3 linked regions of the Astyanax mexicanus genome follow. The protein of the gene in region 2 purifies or fractionates together with the protein of the main gene of each other region. This does not show direct contact. Links are inferred from orthologs where the notes say so. Each region holds a gene or a part of one and is shown on either strand. Other genes may lie near its edges.

Region 1 (8,480 bases), about 21 Mb from region 2:
TTTTGAACATGGACTATAAGCTCAATATAATTTTTCTTCTTGTATAAATTTTATTCTTAACCCATGTTGAATTATATTAAATGAGAGGAAAGTCATTCAGACATCATTCTTGTAACCTAATTTACTGATGTTTAGGCCTGAGGATCGTTGTTTGCATTGTTTGTGTTTTAATCTTTGGGAAATTTGTTCTTAATATGTTTTTGCAATGTTAATTATCATAATTCTAAACAGATTTGGCTCATTCAAACAGATTTTGGGCTCGATCTAAGCTATCTATCCCCGGGGTCAGCAATAGGCAGCATGAAACATCTGGCCCGTGAGGTAGTTTGAAGCATAATAAACGATAATGAAAAATAATTCAAATAAATGCTTCTCTGGTGAGCTTTTGTTTACATGCCTCCCCGGTGTCTCTCTCTGTCGCGCTCAGCGTGACTTTAGTTTAGTTTCCGCTTGTTTTCATTTTTCCACCCGTTCTTGGGCTCCCTTTTTCCCGGCTGTGTCCCAATTCATTATCCAGAGCAGCGGTAGTGTGTTGGACTGCGATGCTGACTACACGGGTTCAATTCCGCATGAGGAGAGGTGTGTTTGTTTATTTATTTATTTTTTTCCCTTTCTTCTTGGGTTTACCTGCTTTGAGATCAACTGTTCTGCAATTGGGTTCAACAACCCTCTGGGCTGGAGAGCTGCTAGTCTGTAGCACTAAATCCCATTACTCTACATTTTCCACTTCATCTGCTCCATCCTATACTAAAGCCTACCTGTGGGCGGCAGTGGCGAGCTCGGTTTGATGGGGTGGTGGGACACTGAGAGATCATCAGCTCAGCTTCTTCCGAGGCCTCTGCGTTTCCATGCAGAAACTCAAACAGCTGCATCTAGGTGTGAAAACAATACCAGGAATAAGAGACTTTGTTAAATGATGCTCTGCGGAGACGAATGCCAGAACCCGTCCTCGGGGGAGCCGGGCTGACGCCACACACTGCTCTCAGCACTCACTGCGGTGAGAGGATCCTCTGGGTCTTCATCTCGCCTCAACTGCTTGTACGCATTACACACGTCGATCAGATCTACCGTGTTGGTGCGCTTCAGAAAGCTGTCGTACTCTTTACGGATGAGGTCATAATTCTCTGAAGCAGGGGAGCCGTCATGGGACAGGTGGAGCTTGTCCAGAAGCAAGCATTTCCAAGCCACCAGCACGTCGCTCAAAGCCACACCGAAGTCTCCTCTTTCCTAGAGCAAAAGCAGAGACAAGCATCACACGCAAGAACACTACAGGCCAAGCAATGGAAAACTTTACAGTTTAGTTGCACTGGAAGAAGAAGAAGAAGAAAAAAACCTTCCCATTTATCTACAGGATCTCTCTTCCTTTAGTTTAAGAGAAAATATATCATCAAAGATGAGTTTTTGATTTTACCAAATTAAAAACCTCTGGAATATAATCAAGAGGAAGATGGATGATCACAAACCATCACACCACCAAACTAAACTGCTTGAATGTTTTGCACCAGGAGTAAAGCAGCATAAAGTTATCCAAAAGCAGTGTGTAAGACTGGTGGAGGAGAACATGATGTCAAGATGCATGAAAACTTTTCTTATTTGAGCCATTTCTCATTTTCTGCAAATAAATGCTCTAAATTACAATATTTTTATTTGGAATTTTGGAGAATTTATTTTCTCAAACATAAACCTATAAAATAGCAAAATCGGAGAAACTGAAGTGCTCTCTCATTTGTTTTCCCAGAGTTGTATATAGTTATTCACATCAGAAAAAAATGACCAAAAAAAAAACCTTTCAAATTCTCCAAAATGGAAAAAAAAAAAAATTGAACATAAAAATACACAAGGCTCAATGATTCCAAATCATACATAGATGCTCAAATAACATTCAACTGAATCTCTATTAAATGCAACTGAACTCTGTAAAAGTAAATGATTCTCTATTGAATGTAACTCAACACCTAACTCTAATCTTAACATTTTTTAAAGTTTAGGTTTAGGTTTTAGTGCTGATTCACAGTTGAGGTTAGGATTGAGTGTAGTGTTAGCTTCTACAGAGAATCGTTCACATTCAGTTTAGGGTTAAGATGCATTTAATAGACGTTCATTTAAATGAAATGCAATTTTTTCCCCTCAATCTCTGAAATGTAACATTGGCCGGTTGCAACACAAATTCTTGTGCCTAAAACACAATCCATCCTCCCTAATGATGATGGTGGGATCGATGTAAAAGGTTATCTGAGGGCACAAACATCTGATCACAATAATAATGATTATACTTAATACCCAAAAATAAAATAAACTCCTTAGCTTTATGTTTTTGGCATGAGACAGTATACTCACAGTTTGTTTCTTTTTTTATTAACAAATAAAGAAAGAAAAATAAAACAAAATCACTGCAGGTTTCCAATGTATACCCAAAGCATGGGTAACTATGCCCCCATCACTAGCATTGTAAGTCTGTTGGGAGCATCGGCTAAAAGCTCTGTATTTGGGAATTCTGGGGGTGAATGAAGGTGGAGTATTTGCCTAAAAAACAACTGTACATGTCATCATTATTCACTACAAACAAAGTCTATTTTACACCAGACTTCTCCTTTAATCTTTAATAAGAGCTCAATTCTGCTAGAGACAATCAAATCACTCTTAATATATTGTATTTAAATAAGTATATAAATCTTTATGCACAGTTTTTGTAGACAATAGACATTACCTGTTTGCAGACTTCAGCAGCAGAAAGCTGTAGAACCATCAGCATGCTGTCTGCTCCATGTATGATGGTTCTCTCAGAGTCTAGAACCCGGTGGCACTCTCTTCTGAAAACTCGGACCACTGTTTTCAGGCTCAACTCGACGCTCCCCATGATCTTTAAAAATGTGACATTACATAAGTTCATTACAGGCCTTCAATTCTTTAATATTGAAAAGTATAGGTTTATGCTTGAGTAAAATTAACAATGTTGTTTTATTCTATAAACTACAGACAACATTTCTCCCAAATTACAAATAAATATATTGTCATTTAGAGCATTTATTTGCAGAAAATGAGAAATGACTGAAATAACAAAAAACATGCAGAGCTTTCAGACCTCAAATAATGCAAATAAAACAAGTTCATATTTATAAAGTTTGAAGAGTTCAGAAATCAATATTTGGTGGAATAATCCTGTTTTTTAATTACAATTTTCATGCATCTTGGCATCATGTTCTCCTCCACCAGTCTTACACACTGCTTTTGGATAACTTTATGCTGCTTTACTCCTGGTGCAAAAATTCAAGCAGTTCAGTTTGGTGGTTTGATGGCTTGTGATCATCCATCTTCCTCTTGATTATATTAGAGAGGGTTTCAGACCACTTAAAAATTATGAGTTTCTTTGATTTTATCAAATTGAAAACCGCTGGAATAGGTTGAAGTTATCCAAAAGCAGTGTGCAAGACTGGTGGAGAAGAACATGGTGCCAAAATGCATAAAAAAACTGATTACAAACCAGGGCTATTCCACCAAATATTGTTGATATTTCTAAACTCTTAAAACTTTATGAATATGAACTTGTTTTCTTTGCATTGTTTGAGATCTGAAAGCTCTGAATTTTGTTATTTCTCATTTACTGCAAATAAATAAATTTTTGGGGGAAAATTTGGGAGAAATGTCTATAGTTTATAGAATAAAACAACAATGTTAATTTTACTCAAACATAAACCTATAAATAGCAAAATCAGAGGAACTGATTCAGAAACTAAAGTGATTATAATCTTTACAGGTACAAAACACATAGGTACAAAGAAAGCGTTTCACTGAAAGGTAACGTTACTTTATTGTACCTCAATATAAGGTAGAGGCACAGTTTCTTAGAGTGTAGTTCTCTGGATAAAATCACATAAATACATAAACAGTCACCTTATTAACGTTACTTTAACAGATCACACAAAGCTATAATCTAGATCAGCTAATCTGCAATAAAACTTACCGCACGTGTTCTTTCAGAGAGAGGTTAATACTGTGTTTAGAGAGCGTTAGTTAAAACTTTATCCTGTTCCTCTGAACTGTAGCAGCTGTGCTGTGTTACTGTCCCCAAACCCGTCTTAAAATTTAAATCCACAGGAACACGCACGTCAGCCAATCAGATTCAAGTACCCGTTGTAGCCGCGCCCCCTTTTCAGAGAGCGCGCTACTGAGTAGCGCCTGCAGTGATGCATCATCCTGTAGTCCGCTCATGTTTATAGTCCTCGCATATTTGGTGTTCCGTGTCTAGGAATGCTTTCTTCATTTTATTTTATTGTACAATGCTATGCATTTATATTTTTCACAAATGTCGATTTAATCCTACGTTAATGATCCACTTTAATATTTGGAAGATTATTATTATTTGTTTTTTTTTTTATAAAACGACAATTCCCTCAAATTGCTCATTTCAATTAAGATCCATTGTGGTGTAAAGTAAGATAACACTTTGATATTATATGTGTTTTTAATTTTAATGTGCTTAGTATCACCCTGTAAAAAACTTAATATAAAATCAAACATCACTGACAAATTCGGTTTGGACTGTGTGTCTCTGCACTCCTCCTCCAGACTCTGGTCCCAAAAGAAGATTTTCAAAAGAAATGTAAAATTTACTCCACGGTGTTATATTAAGTCCAAAGTTAGTGTAGTGTTCTCCCAGAAACTTTTACCACAATTCATGCTTCCCAAGAAGCGGATTTCATTTTCCAGCAGGACTTGGCACACTGCCCACACTGCCAAAAGTGCCAATTGGTCTTATATAATATTCTAATTTTCTGAGACACTGATTTTTTGGGTTTTCATTGGCTGAAAGCAACAATAAAAGAAATAAACACATACAATAGATCACTCTGTGTGTACTGAAATAAAGTAAGTTTTAAATTATATTCTATTTTTTTACATGCACTAGTATGTATATATATATATATATATATATATATATATATATATATGAAGTGAAAATCGCATACAGAAAAAAAGACCATAATTTAGCTAGATTATAAATCCTGTAGTGGAAACCATGCAGGCGCTATTTGAGGGGTTTGTTTGATCTACAGATCATCTGCTGTACTGGATGTACTGTGGTATAATTTGTAGATCAGTGAAAGCGCGCAGTCTGCGCAGACTCCTGTTCTAGGCGGGGAAAGAGTTGCAGGACCCGGATGTAAACAGTGAACCGGTTTGAACGTGGTGGAGGGCGCGTTGGGTTTAATAACTCTGGGATTATTATTAATTCAGTCAGTAAACAGGGCTCTGTGGGATTAATATGTGTTTAATATAACTATAATTTTCGGCTCAGTCTTTCTCACTGCCTACAGTTAATGCTCTCCGCCTTAAACTGAGTAAGTTGCTAAGCTATCTATCAGTACCAGTGTGTCACTATAGCTAATGCTAATGCTGAGAGTGAGTCTGAGTAATTAGCTAGTTAGGTTAGCTAAACTGGGCTGGGTTACACCGATTTTTGCGTACGTTTCTTCTTAAGTTTGTGAGTAAAGTTTTACTGAGTCTTTAGTTACGTTAGTTACTATTTTTTTTTAAATCTGTCTGCAACATAAACCCGTATGTTGTATATTAATCCTTTATGCATGCACTACGTACGTCTCTCTCTTCTCTTTAGAACCCTCACATCTCTTGGTGCAGCTATAGCTGCAAAAAAAAAAAACAGCAAAAGCAAACCACCTGTCCTTTTTTCACCTCCTGGACCTGAACATGAACTTCAGAGCAGCTGTTTACTCTCCACTCCAGCAAAAGATGCTCCACATATGAGCTGCTAACTCATCCATTTATAACCCTTTATAAAGCTACGAGTCTCTCGTCTCTCTAATTTAAGTTTTTTTTATATATACAGGTATCAATTCACATTACATACAGATACATATCACTTACATTTGTTAATGTTAAACAAATCTTTTTTAACCCTTAACCTTCTTAACCCTTTCAAACCCTTTGTCTATTATAGTGGACATCACGTATTATTATTACTATTCTTTTATTTATTTATTTTTTGAACTGTTCTATTCTATTGGAATAGAGCATGAACCAGCCAATGATGTTTTATATATTTTTTTTCATCACTGGAATATAACTCAGATCTGAAAGGGTTAACTAGTAAAAACGTATTAATGCATGTGCAGAGTTAGTTACAGATTGTCACAGATTGTTGCCAAGAAAATAAGGTTGTCAACCAGCATAGATGTGTTTACAATGTATGGAAAAATATTTAAGTAGTTATCACAGCCTTAACAGCATGTTTTATTGGGTAATATATGGCATAATGTAAAGTTTATAGTGTATATGGGTTGTACTTAGGGGTGGGCGATATGGCTCTAAAATAATATCACGATATTTCAGGGTATTTTTGCGATAACAATATACTTGGCTGTATAGGAAAACAGAAAAATAATTAATTAATTTCAGGAATATAGTATAATAGTATAACAGTATAATCATGATGTGGCAAAATAAATGATATAGCATAAAATAATATAATGCAGCAAAAAATATTGCAGTATATTTTCATGCATATAAACTGCAAACAAAAACTATAAACTAAAACAATTATACAATAAATACACCTAAAGCTTCACAGTAAATAATGGACTACTTTTAAGACAAACCATCCCTATTATCACGATATGGATTTTTAATATCATGATATTTCTGTGTCACGATATATTGTATACGATATAATCTTGCCCACCCCTAGTTGTACTGCTATTTTATTAATGTTATTAATGTTGTTTCCTCCTGCTAGAAGCTCCAAAGAACCTATATACACACATATTGGTTTTCATTTAGTTTTAGTTATAACTTTCTTCTGCTGCTCAGAGTTAGGTGTAAATATTTAGTCGCTACTCAATATTGTACAGTATTTTTAATCTAAAATACTGAGTCTGATGGCTAACTTGTTTCTATATTTGTGCTTTTGTTATTTTTCCTCCAGTAGTTAAACTAAAGACCAACAGGAGAGCTACAGTTGATGCAGAATCAGAATGCAGGAGGATCCGAGTCGCTCATCTACCTACACCGTACCCTGTGAAGACTACGTCCACGTGGTGGAGTTCAGCCCGTACGACTGCGGCTCTGCAGCTTCTCTCCTGGCGTACGGGGGGAATCAGTATGTAGTGGTGGGCACCTGTCGCTTTAAGGTAAGAGCAGTGTTTAATGTATGGAGTTTTTTTTTTTTTTCACACACAGGAAATTTTACATTCTGTAAAGTTTAAGTAAATGAAAGACTGTTTGTCTTTGCAGGAGGAAGATGTGGAGGTAGAAGGAGTAGAATTTAACACTTTACGTGCCTTTGTGCACGGGGTTCGTGTGGATGCTCTTGCATGGAGTCCAGAGACGAGGTTGGATAAAATACCCCAGATTATCAGGTATATAATGGCAATAATATGTCACACATTTTTAAATATCGTGAATCCTGAAATATCGTGCCATATTACCCATCCCTAATTATCACATGAGGGTACTGGTACTACTTTTAGACTGTTTTTAGCAAAAGAAAAATTCACACTGTTCTAATTTCCCACTATATATCTACTAGAGACAGATTATATCTGTCCAGTATCATTTATTTTACTTTAATCCTGGATATCTGGAGATATCTGGAGTGCATTATTATTATTAGTATCATGACATTATGGATCAATGACTGGATCTGTTACAAATCTGATAAAAGGCTTGTAATTTTTTATATCTCAGTTAGAGGTGTGCCATATCATATTGGATGCAATCATAAAATGTAATTTTCATTTTGTTACAGTATTGTATTCTTAAAGTATTTTTTTAATTCAGTTTTTTTTTTTTCATATCGTTACCTCGAAAATATCATAAAATATCGTGATATTATTTTAGGACCATATCGCCCACCTCTGCAATGCACTGTGTAAATGTACAGTTTAGTGCAAGAATGCGAACTGCTTAAATACACATTAAATAATGTCTGTTGCTTTATTAAGTACAGCACAAAATCAGAAAAAAAGTTGAGACAGTAAGTAAAATATTTTGCAATGCAGTGTGTCAAACACTTTACAATAAAGGTGCATTTACAACTAATAATTATTAAGTGTTAACATTTTTAAGCGTTAAAATGTATTGATGTTTAATGGTATTGTCTTAACTAGTGTCTGTTAATAATGTATTGAGACATTAATGAACCATTTAACAATATTTATTACTGTCTAAGTTTACGTACTGTTATTTGTGACTTTATCTGATTCCAGACAGTATGAACCCAAGATAAATTTCATGTTTCATCTACTCAACCTTATATATATATATGTGTGTTTAGGGTTTCGGTCTCGTTTTCTGGCTGCATGATGAGATTTCTTTTCATTAGCCTGGATGCATCTGATTCATTAAATAATGCTGATAATCAATCCGGCGGCACATTTGCTGTTAATGTTCCAGATTTTGCACTGCTGCAGGTGACCGAAAGTTAAGGCTGTTTACTTCAGATCTTCAGAACCGGCATGAAGTAA
Region 2 (8,076 bases):
AGCTCAGAGACAAAATTGTGGCGAGGCACAGATCTGGCCAAAGTTACAAAAGAATTTTGGCCGTATTCAAGGTTCCTAAGAGTACAGTGGCCTCCATAATCCTTGTATGGAAGACGTTTAGGAAGACCAGAACTGTTCCTAGACCTGGCTGTCCAGCCAAACTGAGCAATCATTGGAGAAGAGCCTTGGTGAAAGAGGTAAAGAAGAACCCAAAGATCACTGTGGCTGAGCTCCAGGGATGCAGTGGTATGTGTGGAGAAAACCAGGCACTACTCCTCACCTGCCCAATAGAACCCCAACAGCGAAACATGGTGGTGGCAGTATTATGCTATGAAGGTGTTTTTCAGCTACATGTACAGGATAACTGGTTGCAGATGAAGGCAGCCAAGTACAAGGAAAACATCTTCCAGAGTCCTCTGGGCCGAAGGTTCACCTTCCAACAAGACAATGACCCTAAGCACACACCTTAAATAACAAAGGAGTGGCTTCGGAACAGCTCTGTGACCATTCTTGATGACCTAAACCCAATTGAGCATCTCTGGAGAGACAGAGACCTGAAATTGTAAAAACTTGAGAAGATCTGCAAGGATGAATGGCAGAGGATCCCCAAATCCAGGTGTTAAAAACTTGTTAGATCATTCCCGAAAAGTCTCATGGCTGTTCTAGCTCAAAAGGGTGCCTTTACTCAATCTTGAGCAAAGGGTCTGAATACTTATGACCATGTAATATTTCAGATTTTCTTTTTTAATAAATTTGCAAAAATGTCTAAATTTCTTTCTATCAAGGTGGGGTGCTGAGTGTACATTAATGAAAATAAAGTAAAATGGCTGCAAAGAAACAAAGAGTGAAAATTTTAAAGGGGTCTGAATACTTTCCGTACCCACTGTATATATTAGGCGGGAACAGTTTGTTCTTAAAGTGGATGTGTTAAAGCAGGAAAAATGGACAAGCGTAAGAATCTGAGACACTTTAACAAAAACTAAACTTTAAAGTTCTAGACAATGCCTGGGTCAGAACATTTCCAGAACATCAAGCAGGTCTTGTGGGGTGTTCCTGGAATGCAGTGCTTAAACCCTGGCAAAAGTATCCAAGAAAAGACATTCACAATGGCATGAAAATATTATTTTAAATGTTCTCAGAAAGTTTTTTAGAACATTCCTTAAACATTCAGTTGTGAAGGTTAGTGAACATTTTCATAATTTTGGAAAGACGTTCTTATTAGGAAAAAAAGTAGCAACCTTCCCACAACCAAAATGGAACATTAGGAGAATATTCTGGAAATGTCTTTAAATGTTCTCAGAATGTTCTCAGAAATGGTCTGAAAATGTCCAAGTATAATCCAATTCCTTGAACAATAGATTGTCATTGTAAATGACACGTTGAGGTGACTTTCTGGGAACGTTCTCATAACTTTGGAAAAACATTTTGGGAATGTTACGAGGTAACATTCTACAAAGCTAAGCTAATTGTAGTTTAGATTACATTAACATGGAGCAGTCCCACAAACAAAGTGGAATGTTGGAGGAACATTCTGAGAATGTAATTTAAAATGTTTTGAAAACATTCTGAGGTACAACATTCCTAGTACAATACAGCATTTCTAGGACAATAAATTGCCATTGCAAGTAAGGTTGGGGTAAAATAACTTTAGAAAGACATTCTGGGAACATTAAGAATACTGGACATTAATCTGTTGCAAGTACAATGACATGCAACATTCCCACAACCAAAATGGAACTTTTTAAGAATGTAATTTTGAATGTTCTGACTAAGAATGTTCCTAGGATGTTAAACTATCATTGTAAATAAGGTTCAGATAATATTCTGGGAACATTAGTATGCAATATTCCCACATCCAGATATAAAATGTCCCAATACGTTTGTCCATATGGTGTGCACAAAGTACACACTGTTGTATTGATGATATAATAACTGAACAAATCCTCTACGGTGACACACTTCTGTGCATTTCAATACACAATTACTGTTTATTTGTTGAATTGAACAAATGATTAAAATATGAAATACTGTAAAATCTGGCATGTGCAAAGATTCTAATAGGTTAAATTCAGCACATGAACAGTAATTATGTATTAAAATGCACAGAAGCTTAGGGAAATATTTACACATTACTAATTCATTCAACAGCTCCACCAGCACAGAGGCCTAAATCTCATACCTGAGCGCCCTCTTGTGTCTGAGCACTCTGTTAAATTCCAGTGAGAGGCTCTCATTTCTGAATAGCAGTGTTATATAGAACAGTTGTGTGTCTGGGTGCCCTGGTGAGCTGGCATTGTGCTGTTTGTGAACTAAATCTGAATGAGTTTGATCCACACACTGATCCTGGATCCAACTATGTGGTAAATCCTACTATTCTCACAAATCCAGTTCAAGATCAGCTTCTGTTCACAGGGTTAGAGGGTCCCCAGGTAACAAAAAACATTATAAAAATGTTTAGATTAGACAACATTAACATAAGTTATTTGATCAAGTTTAATGCCTAATATCAGGTGTGGGCTAGAGGGTATAAAGCCCCTAGTATTGATCTGTGGAGCAGTGGAACTGTGTTCTCTGGAATGATGGAGCTCCATCTAATACTAATAGATGGGATAAGTTAAGGAGTTGGGGATTAGGTAGGGTGGTGATCATTCAACATCCTAACTCAGGGGTGTTCAAACTTTTTTTGTTGGGGGCCAGAAGGAGAAATATATTTGAAGTCACTTGCCACACTCCGTAATAAAACAAATAATGAAATATACCACTTTAAATAATACTTTTTTCCTGATTATTTCATTTACACACCATTTTACTTGACTTACTATCTTTATATTTGACAGTGTTGTGTAAACTAAGATTTTTTAAATTGATGTTTAATTTCTTGATTTCTCTTAAAATTAAACTCCTTAATTACGGCAACTTTTAGACTCTTTGGCCTGGTTTTCTGCGCTAGAAATGCGCACCCTCTCCGCTTTTAGACTCTTTGGCCCCGTTTTTCTGCGCTTGAAATTTGCACTCTCTCCGCTTTTAGACTCTTTGCCCCATTTTTCTGCGCTAGAAATGCGCACTCTCTCCACTTTTAGACTCTTTGGACTGTTTTTTCTGCGCTAGAAATGCGCACTCTCTCCGCTTTTAGACTCTTTGCCCCATTTTTCTGCGCCAGAAATGCGCACCCTCTCCGCTTTTAGACTCTTTGCCCCGTTTTTCTGCGCTAGAAATGCGCACCCTCTCCGCTTTTAGACTCTTTGGCCTGTTTTTTCTGCGCTAAAAATGCGCACTCTCTCCGCTTTTAGACTCTTTTGCCCCGTTTTTCTGTGCTTGAAATGCACACTCTTTCCGCTTTTAGACTCTTTTGCCCCGTTTTTCTGCGCTAGAAACGCGCACCCTCTCCACTTTTAGACTCTTTGCCCTGTTTTTCTGCGCTAAAACTTCACTCTCTCTGCTTTTAGACTCTTTGGCCCGTTTCTGACACCTAGCGTTCAAACTTAGGTTCTCACATTATAAAAACCTGCTTAACAGCGGGCCAACTTTCATTCTATTTCTAAAACACCTCGCGGGCCGCTCCATAAAAGGAAACGGGCCGCAAAAATATATATATATATATATATATATATATATATATATATATTAGGGGTGTCAACGTTAACGCACGCTGTTAATTTGTAATCAATAACGCGTTTTTTAACGCAAGTTAATTAAGGCGCCAAGTTCGACTCCTACTTCCGCCATAATCTGCCCCGCCCCTGCCCAGCACACTGATCTGTTTTCTGGCTGAACGACTGAACAGTCATACGGTGTCCAGCAGTAACACTCCGGTTCAGACTTCCAGCTCAGACCTGGTTAGAGTTCTCTCTCTCTCATATACTCTCTCATATAAGTTAATTACAGAATTTTGTTGTGATTAATCGGATTTTTTTTAATCGATTGACACCACTATGTGTGTGTGTGTATAGAGAGAGAGAGAGAGAGAGAGAGAGAGCGCTCTGGAAAAAAAAAAATTAAGAGACCACTTCAAAGTAATCAGTTTTTCTGATTTTGTTTTCTACAGGTTTATGTTTGAATAAAATGAACATTGTGGTTTTATTATATAAACTATTGATGACATTTCTTCCAAATTCCAAATAAAAATATTGTAATTTATTTGCAGAAAATGGGAAATGGTTAAAATAACGAAAAAGACGCAGATCTTTCAAACCTTACAGAAGTTCATATTTATTTAGAAACAGTAACAATGCTAAAGTTTTATCTAAGGAAAAGTTCAGAATCAATAATTTGTAGAATAACCATAATTACAGCTTTAATGTGTGTTGGCATTCTCGCCACAAGTCTTTCACACTGCCTTTGGGCGACTTTATGCTTTATGCCACTCAAAAATGGCTCAAAAATTCCAGCAGTTCAGCTTGGGTTGATGGTTTGTGATCATCCATCCATCTTCCTCTTGATTACATTCCATAGGTTTTCAGTGGGGTTGAGCTGGGGGCCGCTGGGGGCAGCAGAGAGCGGGAGCAGGTTGGAGTAAAAGCGGTGAAGGAGAGGAAGAAACAGAGAAGGCGCAAATCCCGCGGCACGAGCTCAGCATGGATTGGTAAATGAATCAATAATCAGTGATTAACAGCGCTGATATTATTATTAATCAGATTTATTAATATTTCGCCTCTCAAACTTAGATTACAACCACTGTACAGGCTGAGCTTCTGCACCAGTACCAAGTTAACTTAACTGTTAGCGATTAGCATGCAGTGCTAAGCTAACTAGCCTAATTGACTGTACTGTACTGTGGGTCTGAGCTCAGACTAATCATCACTGTTTATTTGTTTACTTATTTATCAGTCTGCATGTTTTACTCCTGTACTGCAGCTGTGCTGTGAAGGGGTCTGTATCCACCTAAAATCTGTAGCACTACAGAACTACAGCACAGAGCAGTAATTTCAGCTTTATAGAAGAAGCTGTCAGTTACAGATAGTTTAGATTAAAGTTGAGTTTTCTATAACTTATATTCCACTGATTGTAAATAATTGTTTCATATATAGTGATTGAGTAGAGTTTGGTGTATAACTAATTTAATATTCTGTGACTTTATTAATGTTAAATCTTTACAGCGAGAGGATCAGAATAGATGTAACGTTATTAGTTAAGTGGAATAAGTGACTCCTCATTCTATTATTATATGCAAGTTAAAGGGCCTATACCTGATTCTCGTTTGATATACAAACAGAAACATGTAGGGATTCACCTGATGTTGGGGAAATTAAATGGCTAATTTGGCCAAAAATGACACAAAACAGAAACACTTTCAGTGTTTTTGTTGTGCATTGTGGACATATCTGCTGGGATGTTAAAAATGTTAAGTGCTTAAGTGTTGAAGAGTAACTGTTTATTATACTTTGGGTGTATTGACAAATATCTTTCAGTTATGATTACTTATCTTAGTATCTATAATTACATAATCATTGTGTGAAACCTTGTATTTTATATGCATTAACCAATACTCACCTTACATTTGATCATTTTTACTCACAGTGTATTTTACACGCAATTATATAGAAGATTAACCAATAATCACAATATATTCTTTACATATATAGTAAAACATTGTTTGATCAGGCATGTGACTAACACAGACTCTATTATATGACAAATTAACCCACATGATACATAAGGCATTTACTAACACATAGGATTTATTATATGGCGGACTAACCACGCGTTACTAACACATTAACATATAACATATGAAATCTATTGTGTGACTATTGCGTAGCTCATGCTTGAAGCATTTCGTTCACTGCATGACCCTAACTAACGGTCATCAACTCGACTGGTACACTCGGTAAGAGACTACATTTCTACAGAGGAGGCTTTTAGATCAAAGCGGCCTTCTGTGTGTGGGGGAACCTGCAGCGGCTTCAAAGAGGGGGGTGACGCACACTCACACAGATAGTGCCACGATGTTCCATTCTGGAAGAACACAGTCAAGGCCAAACACTAGTGGTCCGGTCAGACCTGTGAAACTTGAGTACTAACACGTGAAATTATGCATATTAACATGAGCTAATCGTTAGCAACGCCTCATCAGCAGGTTTCACGTCATTTGGGGTATAAAACATGGAGTCAGATCAGAGGGGGGTCAGAACTTATGCTGGGACGGCTGTTAGACGGTCTTTCATGTGTGGGTTCTCCTGAATATTCAGTACTTTGTAATAAATACTTGGTTTGCTTTCAACTTCACTCCACCTGTCTGACTCTCTCTATCAAACGAACACGCAGGGGAGTTGTACCCCGGTCGAGAGGGAGGTGTTGACCCACCTTTCATTTTCTTTTCTACAACAGTGTTCATACATATTCGTAAATTTTAGGTTTGTTATTGCTTTTGACTTTTAATTAAAAGCCTGTATCACACTTTTTTATGTATTTAATTTGTTCTGTAATTGACATTTGACATTTTGGTTTTGGATTTAAAATGAATATTTTAGCCAAAAATGGCAAAATACAAAACTCTTTAGGTGTTCAGCTGAATAAGCCTGAATATTTTTTTCTGAGTGTAAAATTTTAATAAATATTTTTAAGTTGTAAATTTAGGACAAAATATATTCAGACAATTTAATTAATTAATTAAAACCTGTGAATAAATGTTTTATTTATTTATTTGTTCTTTGACCAATTGATAATTTTGGTATTGTTTGTTTTGGTTTGGTTTTATCCAAAAATGTTCACTTTGGTACAACCTTACATAAAATTGAACAGACCTTGCAACAGATTTTATATAAGGCTGCAAAGTCATTTATATGGACAGCAGTGAGGATTGTGCATATTCAAATTTGAACACTGTTACTGTAGAGCATACTGGAAATAGCATTCATCAAAAATAGAGAAGTTTTGTTTGCCAATACATAGACCCTGTAAGTAAAAATATTTTTGGCAGCTTGGGAGTGCTAGGACCTGTTTCCTTAAATCAGGGTGTTAAGATCATGTGAACTGGTCAAGAGAGTTATGATTTGATCCATTTTTTGCTTTTGAGATGCTTTTTAGATCTTAAAATCTGTACAGTTCAGTGTAATATTGATGTTGCCACCATATGCATTATATTAGTAATATATTCGATAATAATTTGCAGATCCAAATGCTTATGTATTTTCCCTGTTGTTTTCTTGTAGGAGCCAGAACTGGTTGAACTCTCCTGTTGTTCGAGACTCGGAGGTGACTCGAGCCGCACGCAGGAAAAGCTCACACAAAAAGGTGGCCTGTATCCTTACCTAAATTTACTGGACTTTGGCTGCTCAGATTGCAGAGCCTGCAGCTGAAGTGACCACTTGCTTTATTTTTCCACTTGGTTAGATTTTGTATAAATCTCTTATCCTCCAGAGCTCATGCAGTCAAACCTCTGCCATGAACCCTCGTCTCAATATTTCTCATCAGGTGTTAAATGTGTCTTGCAAGACTTTAAGTTTGCTTTGTGTGTTTCAATTCTTTACACCATCACTTCCCCAACCTCACTTACTTTCAAGTACAGTTACTCATGATTGGGTATTCACATATTCACAGACCTATTTGTAAGATATGCATATTTATATTTATATTTATATTTTTATGGCACATCGGTCACTTTTATAATCAATGTCATTGCACCTTGCACTTTGCTCTGTTAATTATTTAATGACCGTTAGCAACATCTATTGCACTGCTCGGTTAACAGGTAGATCTTTACGTTGTATAATAAGTTTTTTATAGCTTTGTGTTTTCTATTCTTCTGTGTTTTAATTTATGTTTAACATGTTTCTTATTGTATTGTGCTGTTGCAGCTGGATGCCTACATTTCCTTCGGCATAAATAAAGTATCTATCTATCTATCTATCATATGTTTCACACATATATTTTGAACCCAATATCGAGTCTCATCTTCATAGCCTCGTCATTTTTGTTTTTGCTTTATACTCAAATTTGCTTTACTAAAGTAACTGCTTCATTGCTCCACATGTTGGTGCTAAACTAATGAATAGGGTTGACCTGTGATGAAGAATATTGGATAATTAATTCTGTAAAACTAAAAGATCCATAATTATAATTATTTTTTTAAAGAAG
Region 3 (8,543 bases), on a different chromosome or scaffold from region 2:
GGGACAGAACTGAACTGTTATTGGCTGGAGCGGGAGTTTAATCCAGACGATGCGGGAGCAAATTAATAAATAGTTAAGAAAACTGTAATAATTGTAAAAAAAAAAAAACCTAAAGAAAACTCTCAACGCGCAGGATGGACCGACACACACACGCACACACCGATGGTGCAGCGCTGCTGTTTCAATAAATATATAAGTAAATTTGAAGCATTAAATGTAGTTTATTTAATTTATATTAGGAACGTGGGGCGGGAGCGGCAGAAATGTGTATGTGGCGGGCGGGCGCGGGATTAAAAGAAGCAATTTTTTTGCGGAGCGGTAACGAGACAGAAACGCGGGAGCGTGGAAGAGTGGGTTTAAAAATCAGTCTCGCGCAGACCTCTATTATACATGATAAAAAAAAAACGAAACTGATTTATATAATAAAACGTAAGGGGTAATGTGGCAACAGTAGGGGCTAAATCGGTTACAAAAGCCTGGCCTACAAAAATGATGTCTGAACGAATTTCCTCTTATCTAATATAATTTAAAATGGTTTAAAAATATAAAATAATTTCTAAGCAAACGAAATATTTAATATTGAGCTTATAGCCCAAGTGCAAAAATACAAAATCAGTAATACGGCTATGCCCTGCACAATGCTTAAACCGAAATAGACCAAGTACAATAACGTCATTAACAATGACTTTCCTCTACTCTAATATAATTTAACATGGTTTAAAAATATAAAATAATTTCTAAACAAACGAAATATTTAATATTGAGCTTATAGCCCAAGTGCAAAAATACAAAATCAGTAATATGCCCTGCACAATCCTTTAACCGAAATAGACCAAGTACAGTTTACAATGACTGTCCTCTAATATAATTAACAATGTTTAAGAATATAAAATACTTCCTGAACAAACGTTTTTTTTGTTTGTTTTTTTAAGCAAATAGCCTAAGTGTGAAAACACAAACAGCAATTTACTGGGCTGGCTTGCGCAGCGGAGAAACCATGCAGCAGCAGCCTCCTAGCCTGCTTACGCAGCGGATAAGCCGCGGTGTAGGGCAGCAGAAATTCCGGGATGAAAACACAAAGAAATCTGGGGTGAAAACACAAAAATCCGGGATAAAAACACCCAAAATCCGGGGTGAATATGTCTTGTCGGTCAGAGCAAATTGAAAATTTTTCAGTGGATTAAAGGGGCCGTGATTTCCTTTTTTTTTTTTTTTTTTACCTCTTATTTTAAAAACGAATATTCGAATATTCGCTTCGAATCAGTGCCGAATATCCGGAGCTCAAAAAACGCTATTCGGGCCAGCCCTACTAAAGTAAAAGTATTTCTGGATACGCCACCATTCATCTCTGTAGAAAAGTTTATTTTTATGTTTATAAACTTGAGTATTGGGTGTCAGTGATCATTCATTTTTATTTGATTTTTTTGCTGAACTAGTCCTTTAATGTCATTTTCTCATGCCAGTACAGTTACAGTATAGAAGACACTGCACCTAAAACAGAAACCATCAAGTAAAGCTGATACAATTTATTAGAAAAAACACATTTATCCATATTTACTGTTAAAAAATATTATATAATATTAATAATTTTAATACACCTGTGGCCATAGATCACAAATTAAAAACATAAAACTGGCTGACTGTCCACTGCAGATGGATACTGAAAACACTGAAATATTATTTTGATTAGAGCCTTAAGAGAATGACAGGTGTTGCACCTTATGCTGTAATGAAATTCTGTAACTTGTATTAGTTTCACAGAGAACAATTCAGCAAATCATCTCCTAGTTTTGTAAAACAGTATTACACAGCCCTATGAAACATTATATTTTCTTTCTGACTACAATTTGCCCTGTTGTCTTATTAACATTACACTATAAATCATCTTGCACTTTAAATATTAGGAAGGTGTTGGTTATGAACAAGTTATCCACGTTTATTTAACTGCGTTTCAGAGCAGAGCAGTTTCTGCAAATAACTGCTCTAAATGACAATATTTTTATTAGAAATTTGGCACGAATTGTTGTCTGAGTAAAATAAACATTGTTTTATTCTATAAACTACAAACATATACCTATAAATTGCAAAGTCAGAGAAACTGATACAGAAGCTGAAGTGGTCTCGTATTTTTTTCAGAGATGTATCTTCTAGCGTTAGCTATCTTAGCTTAGCTTAGCTAATTCACTTTACACTAGCGCTACATACACTCCATGAACATAGTTTTAGCTTAGCGTAGCCAGGTAGCAAAAGTACCAGTCAGCATGAATTCAGGATTAATGACACTGAACACTAAATCAACTGGCGGTATCATTGGACATGTTCTTGCCTTAAAGTTTGTGTGGCGGCTGCTGTTGGGGGTAGGCTAAAGGCGCTAGCTTAGCTTAGTTTAGTCAGTTTCACTCCTTGAGAGATTTGGGAACTAGCTAAGCTAACGCTAGCTAAGTTAGCAAAGTTAGCTATGAGGCACATATTTAGGTTACGTTGCAGGTGTTTACAAAGGGAACTAATTTGGGTTAGTGCATTTCCAGTGGTATTTCATGCGACTGTAATGGTAAAATCCACACCGTTCACTATGGTTTTCGAGATGTTAGCGTTAGCTAGACAACATTGAAGGAGTTCAAAAAGGCAGAGGGGAAACGCTTTTTCATAAATTAATATTATACTGTGTCAGCAGGCAAACCGTGCAGTACCAAATATTTAGCTTGCTAGCCAGTATTGCTCATTATATTAAGGTTCACTGAGGATCCTCTGCTACCAGTGTGAGTAAATTACAAGTAGAACCTAGCTAGCGTTAAAGTTAACGTTAGGTGAACCTAGCTAGCTAGAGATAGCTAAGCTAACCTAGGTTAACCAGGTTAGATGTGTAAAATACAGTGTCCCGCTTTTCTCTTTCTTTCTCTAAAAACAGGAATTAACCTACATCTCAAACATGGATACATTCAATAAAACTAAACATTGTGTAACCTACTAAAGCTTAAAGCGATTTTTTACTATTTAGCTAGCTAGGCTAACGTTAGCTAACACATATCAGAATTTAGTTTGTTATGTACTGATATGTCTGGTTAATGCAGAGTTTACACTAAACAGTTTTAATAGTTAATAGCTAACCTAGTTAAAGTTTTAAATAAACAGTGCCCTGTCAATCATCTTAGTCTTCTTATAAACGTAGTTTGTAATAGAGAGCATGCACTTTGATGGCTGCAATTTGTTATTATGCCGATTCTCAGCATCTATATTACCTACCCCCTACCCTATCCCAGTCATCAAGTTTTTTATTTTATTTAGTCAGCCTTAATTGCGGTACACTGGAATGACACGCGTAAAAAACACATTCAGCTAGTACACAGCTGATAATGAAGATGTGGAAGTTGAGAGTAAGAAAGTAGCAGAATCAACAAAAACCCTTACATTTAGTTTTACACTGACATTAAGCTTAACTAAACTAAGTTAAATATCTCACTGTTCAGTAACTTAACTTACCTAGGTTAGCTCAGTACAGCTGACTATTTGAGAAAGTACTGCTAGTAGAGTAGAGTCACGCATGTGTATAATTTGCTAGTTTAATATTAAACTCAGCTATAAGGTTGGTTAATAAACAGAATTTTAATGCTCGAAAAAATATTTACCATGTAGAGGTTATGCCACCGGCCTTCTGAATCGATGTCCTGAAACTCGTGGTCCATTTCTCTGTTTATTCAGACTCTAGTCCGGTATAATAGAAAATAAACAGCCCTATCATAAAGGATCAGTCATTTCTACCGCCGACATTAAGCCACGAACATAAAAAAAATAAATAAAATAAAAACACACACGCACACACTCACTCACACACTCCACTCTCTCTCTCGGTCCGGGTTTCCCGTGTTTGACATCTAGCTGACTGAATTGCGCAGCAAATCGGCGCTCCATTTGCGCAGACCAGCGAGCAAAACAGAAAATAAAAGTACAACTCCAAAAAAAGAAAAAATACGTAGAATTATTTAGACACCAAACTCCAACTATCTGAAACTGCAATAGAAATATTAAAATGTGTATTTTTAAAATATATTTATTTTGACAAGAAAATACCTTTTAGCTTATACCGCTCCCAAAATATGTTAGCCAAAATATGCACTACAGCCGTTTGTTACGAATCAAATTATGTGTAAAAAGTTAACTAGAAGCACAAAGCAGGCACAAAACAAATTTAAACATTGAAATTTTTTTCATTTTAGTGTTTTTGCTCTTTTAATAACCATTACAAATAAAATAAATTATTTAAAATAGTAAGGGGATTAAATAAAAATATGTACTGTATATGAACTAATAATAAAAACAACTGATTAAAACATATTTTTTTTCTATATGCTTAAAGTAAACTCAATATGAAAGTTATTTACAGAGTCCAGAAACCAATCTTTTAAATATTACTGCGCCACTTTTCGCTTTGTGTAAAATCACCCCAGTCCAGCGGGTGGCGCCTAAACATTTCCAAAAGAATCTAAGTTGGAAAGTGATATAAAAATAAACATACATTTTACAAATGAAACTGTAAAAATAACGACAAAATACTCGTTAATAATAATCTTACACTTAAAATAAATGTTAAAGTAAAAATACAGTTCAATGTAATGTAACTAGTACAACCTGCACATAAAATGAAATGTACATGAAACAAAAAGTAAAAGTATAAATGAAAGTCCAAAATGTTGTGAAACAAAAACATAAACTAGGAAAAGTATCGAAATAGAGTAATCTATTTTTTTTTATTGGAAGACTTCTGATCTACAAAACTGTAGGGAATTACCAAATTGTAAGACAGCAATGTATTATGAAACAACACATTTACTCAATTAATATACAAAACATAACAATAACATAACAGAATGAATTATAAATTATAATATTTATAAAGCATTATTGAAAACAGGCAATAACAAACTGGCAATAAAAATAATTAGTTCACTTCATTAGTGTGGTTATCTTTATGTAAATTGTAAGGATCTTTAGCAATTTTAGATTTCATTGATTTTAGGGAGTTGAATTTCTTTATGGTAGCATATAAAGATGTGTGGTGTTTTTTTATACGTTAAATCAATAAAGCATTGATTAAAAGCTCCACCTTTGGATATTCTACTATGACAATTATTGTAATATTAGAGTCTAGATTGTGGAGTTCAGACCGAGGCGCTGTCGGGCTGCTGTTGCTCCTCCAGTCCTACTGCTCTGAGAGCGGCGCTGCTGAGTCTCTGACTGGCAGGAAACAGCAGTGAGCGGTAAAATGGCGCATTGCTGAGCGACCCGCCAGAAGTGAGCAGAAACATTAAAAAGTTTAAAGCGGTGTTCTGTATTTACTCTGTTTCTGAGAGCGAACAGGGATTCAGTGTTTTCACAGCGATCAGGAACGGAGAGTAGAGGAGCATGTTTGTGGCGCGAAGCATCGCTGCAGATCACAAAGATCTGATCCACGATGTTTCCTATGATTTCCACGGCAGGAGGATGGCGACCTGCTCCAGCGACCAGAGCGTGAAGGTAAACACACCCCTTCACTTTATTCACCTATATTCACCCCCCTTTTAACTTACCATATGTATGGAATGCAGCCAAATTTTACAGAGCATATAGGTACCTCAGAATGTATGTTGTTAATGCTAAAAGCAGAACAGAGAAGAGCGAAATTCATCGTTTCTAAAAATGAATAGCTATATTCGTTCTCACAATGTTTTTTGTTAAACAAAAAGGTGACAAGAGTCTTCACATTCATTTCTAAGGTAGAAGTATAGATACTGGGGTTTAAAGTACTTCTGTAACAGTTAGAAGTTTTAACTCAAGTGTAAAAGTAATGCTTTTAAAACTACTTAAAGTATAAAAGTAATGTAAGGGGGGAAATGCCATTAAGGACAAAAGTATAGGTTGTGTTATAGCAGCCTATAGTTAACTACTCCCTGCTCCCCAAAACACATTTTTGTAAAAGCCATAATGACTATAATGTAGGGGTGTGCCATATCGTATCGTACGTGATAATATCGCCAAACATTTTGCCCTGAAATATCGTGACATATCACCCACCCCTAATTATCACATTAGGGTGCTCCTTTTTGTGCTGTTTTTAGCAAAAGAAAAATTCACACTGTTCTCATTTCGTATTATATAGCTACTAGAGACAGATTAGATCTGTCCAGTATAATTTATTTTACTTTAATCCTGAATATTTGGAGTGCATTATTAGTATCATGACATTCTGGATCATTTACTTCTGTTATAAATCTGATAAAATAATATATATATATATATATTTTTATCTTAGTTAGCCATATCATATTGCATGCAGCTAAATATTTTTTCTAATTTAGTGTTTTGTCATATCGCCAAAAGTATCACTATCGTGAAAATACCATGAAATATTGTGATATTTTTTTAGAGCCATATCGCCCACCCCTACTATAATGTTATATTGAAATGTTAAAGTTAAAAATCTTGAGATACGCATATATGCCCATTAAAATAGTTGCATTTAAGTGCATTTTGAATATTTTCAAGTAGCTTAGGTAGGACAGTTTGGTCAAGTTTGTTTATTTATTTATTTTATATACAGATCATCTTCACACTAGATGGAGAGAGTTATAAGGATAGGGTTTTTTTTAATGATGAGAAGCCAGAGGGAAAAACAAGCTGAAATTAAATATGAATAATGAGGCTATTTTAAAAATGGAAGGAGTAGAAGTAAAAAGTTGTTTAAAAAATAATTACTCCAGTAATGTATAGATTAGAAATTTCTGCATAAGTAAGGCAACAAAGTATTTGTACTTCATTACTTGAAACCTGTTAGTTTATGGGTTTCTGAAGCATATTTCAGTAGATTTGTAAAGATAAATATTACTGTAAAATCGAGTAAGATCTTTTAAAATATGATTAACAGAAATGTTTGTCTTGCTTGAAGGTTTGGGACAAAAGTGACGATGGAGAATGGCATTGCACAGCCAGTTGGAAGGCAAGTTTTTAATTTTACTACCTTTTGTTCATATCTAAAAAAGTACACAAACCTACAGATTGGGTATTAAATTATGCACAAGTTATGCTTTAACAGTAACATTGGGTTTGGTTTCTGTTGGTTTCTTTTCAGACCCACAGTGGCTCAGTGTGGAGAGTGACGTGGGCTCACCCAGAGTTCGGACAGGTGCTGGCGTCCTGCTCTTTTGACCGCACCGCAGCAGTGTGGGAAGAAATAGTCGGCGAATCCAACGACAAACAGCGAGGACTTAGTCACTGGGTAACACATCTAATAATTTACTCATTTATAGTAGCAGTCATTTTGGAGCCTGAATTGTGTCTGCACTGGTGTTCACATTACAGTAACATTTGTAGTACAGTGTCATAAAACAAATAAGCAGGTCTGCTGGAGATTCCTTTCCAACAACTACACATGGTTTGAAGTACATTTCTAATGATTTGGGTATGATGCTGTATATTAGGATCTAAGCTTCCATTTTTTTTCTTAGATACATTAACCTCATAGTGTAAAGAACCGTCCAGCCTTCTCCCATGTTTTTAAAGCTGTGAATAGAGATAAGGTGTGTAAACTTCTTCTGCAATGCTTTACAAGTATAAATACGAAATTGGGGTGCTGAGTGGTCCAGCGGTCTAAAGCGCTGCCACTATGACCGGGAGGTCGCCGGTTCGAAACCCCGCTCATGCAGCTTTGCCATTAAGCTGTCGGCGCTTAGAGGGAGCACAATTGGCCCTGGCCCTGCTCCTTCTGGGTGGGTAGATGGCGCTCTCTCCCCACATCATTCCTACGGTGATGTCTGCAGCACAGGGCGTCTGTGAGCTGATGTATTGCCGAGCTGGCTGCTCGGCAATGCTGCATCAGCAGCAGCTCGAAAAGAAGCGGTGGCTGACTTCACATGTATCGGAGGAGGCATGTGTTAGTCTTCACCCTCCTGGTGTGTTGGGACATTACTAGTGATAGGGGGAGTCCTAATGAGTGGGTTGGGAAATTGGCCATGTAAATTGGGGAGAAAATGGGGAAAAATTTGAAATAAAATTATATTAAAAAAAAAAAAAAAAAAATTGTACAGTAGAGCTCTCTGTGATGTTTGAGATTTGTCACCAGTAGTAAAATACAGCGGTCTGTGATGAATGCCATTTGCTGGTTTTAGTATTGAAATATTGATTTCATGTCCGTAATCAGTACTGATTAGAATCTCATCATGCAGATCAAGAGAACAACTTTGGTGGACAGCAGGACTTCAGTAACAGATGTGAAGTTTGCACCAAAGCACATGGGCCTGGTGCTGGCCACTTGCTCTGCAGATGGAGTGGTGCGCATTTATGAAGCTCCAGACGTGATGAACCTTAGTCAGTGGAGTCTGCAGCACGAGATATCCTGCAAGCTCTCCTGCTCCTGCATCTCCTGGAACCCCTCCAGGTGTGTGTTTATGTATTTTGTGTGTTACCATGGTAAACCAAGGGGTTGATCCAGTATTTGCATGTGTTTTACAGTTTGTTGCAGATGTAACTCGGCTTCGGCTTGATAATCAGCCGAAAAAAACGTTTTTCAAACA

The links. The genes of interacting proteins can lie anywhere in the genome.
Region 1: the proteins of nup107 (region 2) and nup37 purify together in Homo sapiens (affinity purification with mass spectrometry; 7 studies listed by BioGRID and IntAct, with this or other methods). This does not show direct contact. The link is inferred for Astyanax mexicanus from reciprocal best matches to the Homo sapiens genes NUP107 and NUP37.
Region 3: the proteins of nup107 (region 2) and seh1l purify together in Homo sapiens (affinity purification with mass spectrometry; 5 studies listed by BioGRID and IntAct, with this or other methods). This does not show direct contact. The link is inferred for Astyanax mexicanus from reciprocal best matches to the Homo sapiens genes NUP107 and SEH1L.

The regions. Positions count from the first base shown.
Region 1 is NC_064409.1:2,712,073-2,720,552, forward strand, and holds the start of nup37 (nucleoporin Nup37), read left to right. Parts: upstream 1-5,146; 5' UTR 5,147-5,339; exon of another isoform or gene 5,340-5,482; intron 5,483-5,629; exon of another isoform or gene 5,630-5,845; intron 5,846-6,940; exon of another isoform or gene 6,941-6,943; 5' UTR 6,944-6,989; coding exon 6,990-7,145; intron 7,146-7,248; coding exon 7,249-7,373; intron 7,374-8,409; coding exon 8,410-8,480. Other genes in the region: PCNA-interacting partner, read right to left, coding at 759-872, 994-1,227, 2,708-2,857. UniProt on the Homo sapiens protein: Component of the Nup107-160 subcomplex of the nuclear pore complex (NPC). The Nup107-160 subcomplex is required for the assembly of a functional NPC.
Region 2 is NC_064409.1:23,502,419-23,510,494, reverse strand, and holds the start of nup107 (nuclear pore complex protein Nup107), read left to right. Parts: upstream 1-4,478; 5' UTR 4,479-4,574; coding exon 4,575-4,582; intron 4,583-7,151; coding exon 7,152-7,240; intron 7,241-8,076. UniProt on the Homo sapiens protein: Plays a role in the nuclear pore complex (NPC) assembly and/or maintenance. Required for the assembly of peripheral proteins into the NPC. May anchor NUP62 to the NPC. Involved in nephrogenesis.
Region 3 is NC_064410.1:33,193,241-33,201,783, forward strand, and holds the start of seh1l (nucleoporin SEH1), read left to right. Parts: upstream 1-5,209; 5' UTR 5,210-5,400; coding exon 5,401-5,511; intron 5,512-6,919; coding exon 6,920-6,970; intron 6,971-7,102; coding exon 7,103-7,249; intron 7,250-8,195; coding exon 8,196-8,407; intron 8,408-8,543. Other genes in the region: ptpn2b (tyrosine-protein phosphatase non-receptor type 2), read right to left, coding at 3,627-3,683. UniProt on the Homo sapiens protein: Component of the Nup107-160 subcomplex of the nuclear pore complex (NPC). The Nup107-160 subcomplex is required for the assembly of a functional NPC.